3 linked regions of the Saccharomyces cerevisiae S288C genome follow. Changing the gene in region 1 together with any one later gene gives a genetic interaction. Each region holds a gene or a part of one and is shown in the gene's direction. Other genes may lie near its edges.

Region 1 (5,093 bases):
AATTCGAATGTGATTGGTCCTTCATTTCACTAAATTTCTTGATGAAGTGGTAAAGTTTTTTACGTGACATAATTGGATTTGGCAAGTATCGCGGTATCTTGTTTTTTGATCTGAAACAATTGGATAAAATGTAAAAAACGAAAATCACTGATGAGACACTATCTCTTCGTAGCGATAGTAAGGCTCTCGTGGTTTCAATATCAAAATCCTGATCCCAAATTTCAAAAAATGCACCTGAAATTCTCGCTTCAATGATCTTAGATAACAAAAATTGGCATGAATTGATTAGACTTGCGTACTTCTCAGGATTGAAGTTGGAAATAATGATTGGCTCATGACGGGCTTTCTTCAAAAGTTCCCTGATTGCTTCAAGACTTTGAGTCAGTCTAACTTCACGAATGTGGGAAAATGCGAAAGTTAAATCAGTAGGTGCGTCGTCGGCATCCCTGTATAAATACCGGTCCGCCACGGTTTGGTAGGACTGGCCCAAGTGTGCCAGTAATGATGACATACTATCTCTTAGTTCTGTCCTAGCTCTAAAGGGCCACACTATCCAGTTGATGGGAATCGAAACCAAAATACCGATAATAAGTGCCAAGCCTGTAACCCACGTAGATTTCCATATTCCAGCGGTGGTTAAGTTATAATGTCTATTAGGTTTGCTGTATGGTTCAAGAGCAATTATGGTAAAGCACATTAATGCAGTGAAGCTCGATTTGGTGTTTCTATAGACAAGAAAGTTGATGCTAAATGGGACCACGATCAGACCAGCAAACGTGCAAACCACGTATGGACTACCAAAATGTCTCGATTGGTTGGCAGCCCACCCCCAAAAGATACCTACTATACCACAGATTAATCTCCTCATTACCAACGCCCAGTTACCAGAGTATCTTCTATGTGCTAATAAGTAAAACGTGAGTGGGGCCCACCAACAATGAAATTCTTGGTACCAGTGATAGGATTCAGGTAGCCAAGTTGGTAGACACAAAAATATCATACAAAAAGTAATCTTTAGTGTCCACTTACATTCATCACCAGATAAAATTCTACTCAATTTCCATAGTTTAAATCTCCAAGGATTTTGAGTTGTATGAAAATTGAAGTCGTTGTGATCAATTGCTCTGATGGAAATAGTGTGGTTTTTGCGATTCTGTGACTTTTCGTCACCACCTTGTGAATCAAGTCTCAGCGCTTCTTCTTCGCCTTTGTTATACTTGTGTCTTGACGTGTAGGTGTTATAAACTCTTTCAAAAATTTCATCGACATCACGTTTGGCCTCAAAATAATGAAGAACATTTCCTGCACCTTCATCGAGAACACATTGTTTGGGCAATCTTGTCAACGCACGAGACAGTGGATATGATGGCAGAGCAATTCTCCAGTGAATATTCTCACCCAAAACTTGGCAATCGTGGATAACAGTAACTAGCTGCCTTGCGGAGTTTCTCAAATATCTTAGAAAAAGGAAAATATCGACAGACTCTTCGTCATTCAACAGTTCCTGTGAAAAAAAACTAGAATTCACAAAATCCCTGTAACAAACATCTAGTTTGTAAATTTTCCTCTTTAATTTAGAATGCGAGTGACTTAATATTTTGACACACTCATCTAAGTTGTTTTTTTGATTTGGAGACTCGTATTTCTTTAGTACTCTTGATAGATTTTCCAAAACGAAGATCATTTCCAGTATTAAGTTGAAGATGCTTTTCGAGAAGGACGCCTTTAATGCATTAATGTAGATTTCATTTTTTAAAAGCCCCGGACCGATAGGCTTAAAGGCACTGGGCGTGTTTTCTCTTGTTGGAATTCCTGAAGATTGAGGGCTAGCGCTTGCTTCTTTGCTCAGGGTCGCAGAATCCGATCTATACTTCTCCAATTCTTCATACATCTTTTTCAATTCATCATCATTAAAAATTTTGGGTGCAATGGGTAATACTCTCAGAGAAGTTTCCATGGCAGTTAAAGAATTTCTTAAACTCTTCAACGATTGAAGGTCAAACCTGGAAATTGTCAACTGATTTACAAAATCTCTAAAACCTTGAGATAAATCAATGTTTAGTGTTTTCACCATTTTTACTTGGGCTAGGTAAATTTGTTCTTTGGACTTTATTAATTCAGTATCTACTAGTGCCATTAAAAAGGTCTTTGTGGTCTGTAGACACTTGTTATAATGTTCCATTAACTCTGCATTGCCACTATGTGGTGATACACATACACAAACCAAGAGAGATAGCAAAAGGCCGAAGAGATATGAGATTCCAAAATCCCAAAAAATTTGCCACTTCAAATCAAACTTGGATGAGGCCAACCGAACTGTATGAGTGAATATAATCGATATCGAAAACGAAGTTGTGAAATAGAAGAACCGACGGTAAACAGACCTTAGCCAGATGGCAAATAAGAGGGCCATAGTCAGACTCTGAAATAAAATTCCTCCCTGGTAGTTTGCGGTCGGCTTTGTCGCTGTGGAAATGTACCATGCCAAAGCCGACCATCCCAGGCCAAAACTTGCGCCGATAATGGAGCTTATAGTCATTTCCAGTTGAACACCAATATTTCTGACCGGATGATGTATAAGTACTGCGATGGGTAGAAAATACCTGAACTCATGGCCAATCCACCTACCAGAAGGCCTGATAACGCAAATCACGATAGCAATGAAATAAGCAATAAAAAACTTGAATATGGATACCCCATTTTTTCTAATATCTCTAGGGAAATGAATAATGGGCCTGTAGATAGCAGTCCAAACATATTCGGAAAGCTTGGTAAAACCAGATTGCAGTTTTTTCCTTGCAGCGCCATTGTCGTCATCGATGTCGCTGTTAGGAGACCTAGCTTTGCTGTCCGGCTTGGTAAAAGCAGCATCAAAAAACCCATCTCTCAGCTCTTCCAGCCCAAAGTCCTCTACTTCCTCCCAGTGTTTGTCCTTAACCAAATTTTCCAGCCGCATTTGCGATAAGGATGCCACGGATTGTTGTGGGCTTCCTGCAAAGCTAAGCCCGCTTATACCGGCAGGATTCTTATAGTTAAGTTCATGTAGTGACCTGAGTGATGTTTGAGAGTATGAACCTTTCACAATATCAGGATCAGGAGTGGGACTTCGATCTCGCTCATATCTTTTCATGAGGACCTGTTACAATTCCAGCACTATACTGTACATGCTTTCCTTAGTGGAGCACAAAGCAAGTTAAAAATGAACTTTAAATTGATTAAAGTGTTAGTGACGCTTAAACTCGTTTTCCTGCGCGTATTTCACGCAATCTATACATAATCATCTTTGATAATGTTATATCGCCTTTCATTTCCAGATTTTGTTCACTGAAAAGTCTTATCGGAAACCTAACTTTGGGCGACAGGGTTATTGTTTATAATTTGTAGGTGTTCCATTTTTTTCTTTGTACTTTTTTAGGTTAACGTAATATTTAATTAGGTCATTTTTAGGGCGTTTAGTATTAGAAAAATTCATTTGTACACACTATTAAGAGGAAGGCAAACTATATTTACATTTTATTGAGGAAAAGGGTTCATCGAGGAGTTATCAAGAAAAGCGTTTGTTAGTAGTAGTTTGCGACAGTGGAGATGGCAGCTGCACCATGGTATATTAGACAGCGTGACACGGATTTATTGGGTAAATTCAAGTTCATACAGAATCAAGAAGACGGCAGATTAAGGGAAGCTACAAACGGAACGGTGAATTCACGATGGTCGTTGGGGGTCAGCATAGAACCTCGTAACGATGCTAGAAACAGATACGTTAACATTATGCCGTATGAGAGGAACCGCGTTCATTTGAAGACTCTATCCGGGAATGATTACATTAATGCCTCGTATGTCAAAGTGAACGTGCCAGGGCAGAGCATCGAACCGGGCTACTATATTGCTACTCAAGGTCCCACGCGTAAAACTTGGGATCAGTTTTGGCAAATGTGCTATCACAATTGTCCTTTAGACAATATTGTCATTGTGATGGTCACGCCTCTGGTAGAATACAATAGGGAGAAGTGCTACCAGTACTGGCCTCGCGGTGGTGTAGACGATACGGTTAGAATAGCATCAAAATGGGAAAGTCCGGGCGGCGCCAATGATATGACTCAATTTCCCTCTGATTTGAAAATAGAGTTTGTTAACGTACATAAGGTGAAGGACTATTATACGGTCACCGATATCAAACTCACACCCACGGACCCTCTTGTAGGACCTGTCAAAACTGTTCACCACTTTTACTTCGACCTTTGGAAAGATATGAACAAGCCAGAGGAAGTAGTACCCATAATGGAATTATGCGCTCACTCCCACAGCTTGAATTCCCGCGGGAACCCCATTATCGTACACTGTTCCGCAGGCGTGGGCAGAACGGGGACGTTCATTGCCCTAGATCATCTCATGCATGATACCTTGGATTTTAAAAATATTACAGAACGGTCAAGGCATTCAGACAGGGCTACAGAGGAGTACACACGGGACTTGATCGAACAGATCGTGTTACAGTTGCGCTCGCAAAGAATGAAAATGGTTCAGACAAAGGATCAGTTCCTATTTATCTACCATGCTGCCAAGTATCTTAACAGTCTTTCCGTGAACCAATAGACAGCTATATAAAAGTTCCTAATTGTGCATTTTTTCAATAACAATACTTATTCATCCTTATAATTATATTCTAGCTTCGTTGTCATGGGAACATAGCCCATACACCGCAGTTATTTATGATCATTTCGAACGGGAAGTATGGATGAATCTTTTTTTTTTTTTTTTTATAGCACGCAACTGAAAAAAAAAAAAAGAAAAATTTTTCATCTTCGCTCGACGTTTCTTTTGTAGTACTCATCTCTTTTTATATAAAGATTAATTAGTTATTGTCGCTTTGCTTTTCCTTCTTTAAAAAATGTTTCTTGCTTTTGGATTTTCAGATGTCCCAAGATCATTACAGTATTTTAATTGAACAAAATGGCTGAAGGTGTTTTCCAAGGTGCTATCGGTATCGATTTAGGTACAACCTACTCTTGTGTTGCTACTTACGAATCCTCCGTTGAAATTATTGCCAACGAACAAGGTAACAGAGTCACCCCATCTTTCGTTGCTTTCACTCC
Region 2 (3,637 bases), on another chromosome or scaffold:
CGATTCTTCGAAAGAGATGAAAGGACGATAAAACATTTTTGATAAAAGATAATGTGTAGATAACATTGGATACACTAGCTTCTCCTCATCGATTTTAGTTTTTTGGCCCAAGCATACTTAATTGACTTTGTGATTCCAGCTGTGAAAACACCTTTAATAGTTTGTAATGCACTTGATTTACTAATACGGCTGAGCAAAAGTCTCTGAGTATTCTTTAATGTGAACCCTTTTGGAAGATAAAATGAATCATTTAGGACCACTTCTTTGTAAATCGGCTTGTAATACTCTTGAAATCTTTCAAAGTTTTTGGTAACAATGTTGTTAACTTTGTCGGGATTTTCTCCACCCAGTTTGTATCTAATATCACCTGCATAACTTAAGGCAGTGATCTCCTTGTAAAATTGGAATTCGTCAAACTTATTGTTATTTTTCTCTAAGGTGTAATGTTTGGCCAAAGTAGCTGCAGCTTTTAAGTTTAATTGGTTCCAATATTGCACTCTCAAATCATTCTTCAATATTTTTACAGGCTTTTGTAGTCGTCCTGCTAAATAGAATGTATTCCAAGTAGCTATGTCCTTTAAAAGTGTTTCCATAGAAACCACCCCATATTTTACGTCGTGTCCATTTATATTTGCAAATGGATTAAAATATACGCCTGCGCCGATCTGTTGAAATTTAGACACGAACTCGGAACCGAAGTATTTCAAACTTGAATAATGTTGCGGATTCTGCCTCATATTAATAGAGTGAAAATGTGATGGATATGTGACGCCCAAGATTATATCGATTTGAGGTTTGCTATGACTTTTGGAATATCCCGCTTGTTCGAAAACTCCTGAGCCGTAACCAAATACAAACCGGCACGGAGCTTTGAAGGATGACATTACCCCATCCAGTTCCTTTTGAAGTTCCTTATCGATAGTAATGAGCTGGTTACTTCCATAGTTGGGGGGCAATCTGTGAAACTTGTACATATAATTTGTAAAATTGGAAGTCATTTCGTCAGTTTTTCTTATACCTTTTTCCAAGAGGTCCAGATCACTGCCTTTAGTAATTCCCTCGATGTAGTGATTCGGCCTTTCGTTAATAGTTCCATCGGGGATAATGCCAGCATCATCTATGGAACTTCTCCCCTCCTTTATTTGAGTACTCAGAAGCCTATTAAACATGCTTACGTTCGTTGAATGGCATTTCAGCAGAAACCGTAGACCATTTTCAGAAACTCGTAACATAACTTCAGGATATATCAAAGTAAAAAGCAGCTCCTATTAATTCAAATTATTAGCTCAATCCTATAGCAACGTTTCTCAAGTTTAATTGTTTTGAAGGTTTTAGAACCTTTTTCACATTATTTAGTCCGTCGAAACATCTACTCTTTACTATTTATGGCTAAACAGGCTGAAGGGTATGATTTCTTTTCTTTTCTTTATTCATGTCGGGTAAGAGAAGGTCACTTGACCTATGATGTGGGGGCAAATAATAACGTGGGAATAACAAGCGCGCTACTGGTAAGTGAAAAACTAAGATAACAGTTGAATTTCGTGTTTAGATGCTATAGAGAGTCTGGTACAGCATTGGCGATTTAAGACTTCTCTAGTCCACATTTCTTAAATTCAAAATCACAAGCGCCTGTTAACGATCATTTTATAATCTACGATGTGTAAATGCAAAAAGTGCTTTCCTCCCTCTTTAGTTTGGACAGGGATAGTGGGTAAACGAGTAGCATTATGAGTGCATACATTGCCAGAAAGAAACCGCAAAGCGGCATATCTTTTTTCTTCTTTCTGTTGTAAGGGATGCTTCGTCACGTAAAATGGCCGCCGGAGTGAGATGTCACAGATTACATCAAAAGGTCGGCGTATACTGGATAAGAAAATCCGAACTTTTCCGGTGGGCTTTACCAGCAGAAAAGTGGCCGGGCATGTATTAAATATATCACCGTATTTTCTGCTGGCTTTTTCTTATGCAGAGAACAAAGGCCAGAGTGCCTTCGAGGAAATTAAAGGGAGCAATGTGATAGATATGTCCTGTGTCATTTGCTTCAATTTTTCCTGCCATTTATTTGTAGTTATATTTATATCTAGATCAACCGAAACTATACCAACGACGAAGCTGCTTCTTAGTAAATATATTTTCTACTGTGTCAACGCATTGGAACTGACATTGTTCTTATCCTATAAGTCATACAGTTGAATTTGTTAATTCTTTACTAGAAGTTGGGATTTTCAGCACTTATGTCACCGTGTTATGGACAAAACAGTGCCATCGCCAAGGGGTCTTGGAACAGAGAGGTTTTACAAGAGGTGCAACCGATTTATCATTGGCACGATTTCGGGCAAAACATGAAAGAATATTCGGCATCACCCTTAGAGGGGGATTCCAGCCTGCCTTCCAGCCTGCCTTCCAGCACTGAGGACTGTTTACTACTATCATTAGAAAACACAATCACAGTTATAGCCGGAAATCAGAGACAGGCTTATGACTCTACGTCGTCTACTGAGGAAGGTACAGCACCTCAATTACGGCCGGATGAAATAGCGGACAGTACACACTGTATCACGTCATTAGTTGATCCGGAGTTCAGAGATCTTATTAATTATGGACGTCAAAAAGGAGCAAATCCTGTATTTATTGAGAGCAATACAACAGAACAATCCCATTCACAGTGTATTCTAGGCTATCCCCAAAAATCGCACGTGGCACAGCTATATCACGACCCCAAAGTACTCAGCACAATTTCCGAAGGGCAAACAAAAAGAGGAAGTTACCACTGTTCTCATTGTTCTGAAAAGTTCGCAACGTTAGTTGAGTTTGCCGCGCACTTAGACGAATTCAACCTTGAAAGACCGTGTAAGTGTCCCATAGAGCAATGTCCCTGGAAAATATTGGGTTTCCAACAAGCAACTGGTCTGAGAAGACATTGTGCTTCCCAACATATAGGAGAGCTTGATATAGAGATGGAGAAATCATTAAATCTAAAAGTAGAAAAATATCCAGGACTGAATTGCCCATTTCCTATCTGTCAGAAAACGTTTAGGCGCAAAGACGCCTATAAGAGACATGTGGCCATGGTGCATAACAACGCTGATTCAAGATTTAACAAGCGTTTGAAGAAAATTTTGAACAATACCAAATAGTTGAGGCATTAAAAATGTACCCCATGAAACTCTTGTTAAATTTGTGCAGGCATGAAAGCTACTGTATTTTTTCTTAAAGTAATAAAAATAAAACACAATGATATTAAAGAAAACGCATGCAACTATGGACACTTGCTATGTCGTGAATATGGCACCACGTTGGTTACTTAGCTAAATAAAAAATCGTAAGTACTCGCATTTTTTCTTCTATATTCACTTTGCTTCTTTGGACAGTTATTTCAATAATAAATATTTCTTTTTTTCTAATCTCCCTTATCACCTAAGAGGAAAAAGTTTGAAAATAAACTTATGGCTAGAGGTTATTTGGTATTCCGAGAAAACATTTGAAACTAGGAAGTTTACATATCAGTGCAATTATGTTTCCTTCGATGATTCACGTACCCTCAAAGTCAGTACCATAAAATTGAAAATAAGACAGGTGTTTTTTTTTTTTTTTTTAATCATACAAGAATTCAACCACTTAAGTAGGATATTAGCGC
Region 3 (4,280 bases), on another chromosome or scaffold:
TGGCGGTGAACCAGAGTCAGTGTTTGATGTATTACCAATAGTTTGGACGTCATTGGATTTATTATTATCGGAATCAGAAGGTGCTGGGGAACCTTGAGTGGCATTTGAATCTTGCTGTGGTTGGTTTAAAGTCATTGCATTAGGTGGCATGGCAAACCCTGGCATCATCATTGCCATTTGCTGCATTTGTTGTTGGTACATTTGAGTATAATCCATACCAGTTTGCTTTTGCATTTGTTGGTAATATTCTTGCATCTTTTGATAGTAATCTGTCATTGCTTGCGGATTCATCATTGGGTTGTAACCGCCCATCATAGGGTTTTGATACATTTGGTTGAAATCGCCTTGGTTACCGAAGTTACCGCCACGACGATTCATGTTGTTTCCACCATTGTTACCACCATTGTTTGATGATTTTTGTTGCATATGTCTTGGCTCAGCTCTCTTGATTTCGATCTTGCGATCTTTGAAATCGATGAATTTATTCTGACAAACTCTGTCAACGGCGTCAGCGGAGTCATACGTCACAAAACCAAAACCTCTTGATTGACCGGTATCCTTATCTAACATCAGTTGCGCATCGATAATCGTACCCCACTGAGAAAAAAATTCTTCAAATTCCTTTGGTCTCACATCAGGACCAATACCACCAACAAAGATTTTACCGGTTTTATCTTGCTCGTCTCTTGGGATAGCTCTTTTTGGGTCGATAACTTTACCATCGAGGATATGTTGTGTCTTTACCACTTCATCAACACTAGAAGGTTTTTCAAAAGATAAGAAACCGAACCCTCTAGATCTACCTGTTGCAGGGTCTTTCATGATTTTCAAATCAGTGACGGTACCATACTTACCAAAATATTCGCGAAGATTATCTTCCGTAGTGTCCCAATTCAGACCACCAATGAACATCTTGCAACTTTCTTTAGACAAATCCGCTTTCGAACGTTCCTCTTTGGTTTGAGTTACTTGCTGTTGAGGTGGTGATTGAGAAGATGGTTGCTGGAATTGTGACATGGTTTGTTGAAGTTGTTCCCAAGGTAAGCCAGAAGGTCCTGCAGAACTAGCGTTGGCATTGGCATTTGCTGATGTAGCGCTTTCTTGTTTTTTTTCATTCTTAGTGTCTTCATTGGAACCTTCCTTGTCATTCGCAGTGCCATCTTGCTTACTAGAAGATGTGTCTTGGTTACTATTATTACTACTACTGTTGTTACTATTTGGATTATTTAGTTTGTTCAAGCTAGAAGATAATGCTTGTAGTGCGGCTAGTTGATCTAATTGCGAGGTACCACTGCCAGCCTTATTTTGTTCTTCTTCTTTTTTGACTTCTTCAGTAGTGGTAGGCTTATCATCGCCGTAGATGTCGTTGAAATCTTCTTCGTCAGAGCTCATTGCTTATTTAACTTATTCTCTATTTTCTCAGACTTGTGTATACTGCTAAAGTTCTTTATAAATAAAATATTTGCGTCTTTTATGAAAAGATTGTAATATAAACAGTAATATTAATACAGAATAAAAAAGGGCCAATTGTTTGTATTATGCACGCTTTTTCAATTTCTTGTTTATTGAGTATACCTTTTCTGTCCGTATTTTTTCTTTTTGTTTCTTTCGCAAAAAAGGTTAGAAAGAAATCTAGTAAGGTATGAGATTTTAGTTATTAAACACTAAAAAGTAAAAGATACACGTAAAAAATTTATAACAGTATATTGTACTAATACTTGACTATCTGCAAAATTAAATAACTAGTCGAAACTGTTCAATCCTTTGTTTTTAATTACAGTGGCGGAAAGGAGAGAGCGGAAGAAAATTTAAGAGCGCCTGGGCGTGTGGAAAGCATGCGCCTTTTATACTTTTTTTGCTTTGTCCAACAAGAAATCTCGGCGCTGCTCGTAGGGAGGGGCTGCAAGAAAAAAAATAAATAAAAAAAAGAAAGTATTTCCGGGTAAGATTAAAAATGCATTCGATTTAGCCGCCCAGTATTTCGCAAGATCTTCCAAGGTTATAGATGTTTAGAAGAGAAAGAAGTTGGGATCCTTAAGAGCATGTTTCTTTTTCCACGCATCTACATTAGGATTTACTCTTTGTTTTTCAACTTCTGCGCAAGATCTTCAAGAACAAATCGAAGAGATAAAAAAATTGATATTTATAGTCAATAGGTTTTCGATAGCATGACCCTCCGGACTTTTGATGGATAGATAAAGCGAAATTTAGAGGGTTTTTGATCTTCTTCCTTGCAGCAACCTATATTTCTTAGTATTTTGTATATCAATAGCCTCCATAATGTTATCTATAGCTATTAGTACTTTAAGAGACTTTTATTACCCGTATTTTGGATTCTTTTCCGAAGAAAAAAGAAATGTTTACGTTGTGGGAAAAGTGAAAAAAATCGATGATTATGGGCATCGAGGTCTTAATACCCGTAATATGGAGATGAAATAGCATAACTAAACACATTGTATATAAGGTAAAAACGGCAGCATGAAGAAATATCTGCTGTATATGGTACAAGTTCATTTGAACTTTAGAAGAGCAGAACTGGAATCGTTAGCAGACCTATATAATCTTTCCATAGACTTTTCGCAGTACGATGCCAATAGCCCTTTCTTTATTGTAGAGCTGGAAAATGATCAGCAAGCAAAGGATTGGATTAAGAGGTCTATTTTAACCAGAGGTATTTATGAGTATTGGGGGCAGGGTACAACGCTCGATGAGCTGCATAAAGATATTCAGCGTCAGTCTAACTTTGAACAGGATCTGCAATTGAAATTCAAACATTCCACTTTTAAGTTCGAATTCGAATGCTATAAAGGCAACAGTAAAGCTAAGAGGGTAGAGCAGATTGAAACTTTCCGTTACCTTGGCTTTGAAGGAAAGATTGATATGAAACATCCTCAAGAGGTTTTCACTGTTATAGAAGAGTACACACCAATATCGGAAAACGTTGGTGGTAAGACCCCCACCAGGATTTATTTTGGTAGGCAGGTTCAGATGAGCAATAGGAGTGCCATGGAGAAATATGATTTGAAGAAAAGACCTTATAAAGGTACAACTAGCTTCGAAGCAGAATTATCGTTGGTCAGCGCCAATATAGCTCAAGTGAAACCGGGAACTATAATGTACGACCCGTTTGCAGGTACAGGATCCTTTTTGGTAGCTGGTGGGCATTTTGGTTCTTTAGTGATTGGTTCGGATATAGATGGCAGAATGATTCGTGGTAAGGGTGCTCAAGTGAACATTTCGGCCAACTTCAAAAAATATGGCGAGAGTTCTCAATTCCTCGACGTGTTGACCATGGACTTTACAAATAACGCATTAAGAAACAATCTTGTCATTGATACTATTTTGTGTGATCCTCCATATGGTATCAGAGAAAGCATAAAAGTCCTAGGTGCTAAGGATCCAGAAAGATTTCTAGGCAAGGAAGATATGGAAATTGACGGTGAAAAGGCATATTTGCGTCGCGATTATATTCCAACCAAAAAACCGTATGCTCTAGATTCATTACTGGATGATCTTTTACAATACTCTTCCGAAAGATTACCGATTGGCGGAAGATTAGCCTTCTGGATGCCCACTGCAAACGACGCCAATATTGAAACTATTGTCCCAATGCACGAAAATCTAGAGCTAAAATACAACTGCGTTCAAGAATTCAATAAATGGTCAAGGAGACTACTGGTTTATATTAATAGGGGTAGCACTTTCAATGGATCAAGTAATCATGGCATAAAACGTTCAAAAGATAATTTCAGGGAGCGGTACTTCAATAATTTTAACTGAAATGATGCATAAGCCCTTTGTAATTTTAAGATATATTTACTTACTCTTTCTCTTAAAGAAAAAAAAAAAAAAAGAAGAACAATTTATCTATACCTATATTTATGTTTATGTTCCATCATGTAGAAAAGTTTCATTTAAAATTAATAGCCCGTCAAAAATACAAGTGAAAAAAAATAAAAATTAAAAGCTCTCTATTTCTTATAAACTAACATAGCAACGTTCTCTAAAGAAACATCGGATTCTACGTACCTTATCAGCTCCGCATTAAACTCTGTAAACTTTTCTTTCACATATACCAACCTGCCCTCGTCGATTACACGCCTAGCCATTAATCCAATATTTTCTCTCTCTTTAATGGTTATTGTATATGGCTCAGCCCCTTCAAACGATTCGACAACGTTTACTATATCTGTAATAGCCGTACCTGGTTTCCTTCCGCAGGTACCCCATGAACAGAGTTTAGTTAAAACGCGGAAAAAGGTTTCGTACGTCAAGATGGA

The links. Genes that interact genetically often act in the same process or in processes that back each other up.
Region 2: mutations in PTP1 (region 1) and RME1 together harm fitness more than expected from each alone (negative genetic interaction), as found in Saccharomyces cerevisiae (2 studies listed by BioGRID).
Region 3: mutations in PTP1 (region 1) and TRM11 together harm fitness more than expected from each alone (negative genetic interaction), as found in Saccharomyces cerevisiae (2 studies listed by BioGRID).

Annotation. Positions count from the first base shown.
Region 1 is NC_001136.10:39,115-44,207, forward strand, and holds PTP1 (tyrosine protein phosphatase PTP1), read left to right. Parts: upstream 1-3,585; coding exon 3,586-4,593; downstream 4,594-5,093. Other genes in the region: BRE4 (Bre4p), read right to left, coding at 1-3,130; Hsp70 family ATPase SSB1, read left to right, coding at 4,951-5,093. UniProt on the Saccharomyces cerevisiae protein: Is not required for vegetative growth.
Region 2 is NC_001139.9:582,490-586,126, reverse strand, and holds RME1 (Rme1p), read left to right. Parts: upstream 1-2,234; coding exon 2,235-3,137; downstream 3,138-3,637. Other genes in the region: TAM41 (putative phosphatidate cytidylyltransferase), read right to left, coding at 75-1,232; YGR045C (uncharacterized protein), read left to right, coding at 1,831-2,193. UniProt on the Saccharomyces cerevisiae protein: Involved in the control of meiosis. Represses the transcription of the IME1 gene thereby inhibiting cells from entering meiosis. But also activates the CLN2 gene thus promoting mitosis.
Region 3 is NC_001147.6:84,956-89,235, reverse strand, and holds TRM11 (tRNA (guanine-N2-)-methyltransferase), read left to right. Parts: upstream 1-2,478; coding exon 2,479-3,780; downstream 3,781-4,280. Other genes in the region: HRP1 (Hrp1p), read right to left, coding at 1-1,392; TRM13 (tRNA:m4X modification enzyme), read right to left, coding at 3,972-4,280. UniProt on the Saccharomyces cerevisiae protein: Catalytic subunit of an S-adenosyl-L-methionine-dependent tRNA methyltransferase complex that mediates the methylation of the guanosine nucleotide at position 10 (m2G10) in tRNAs.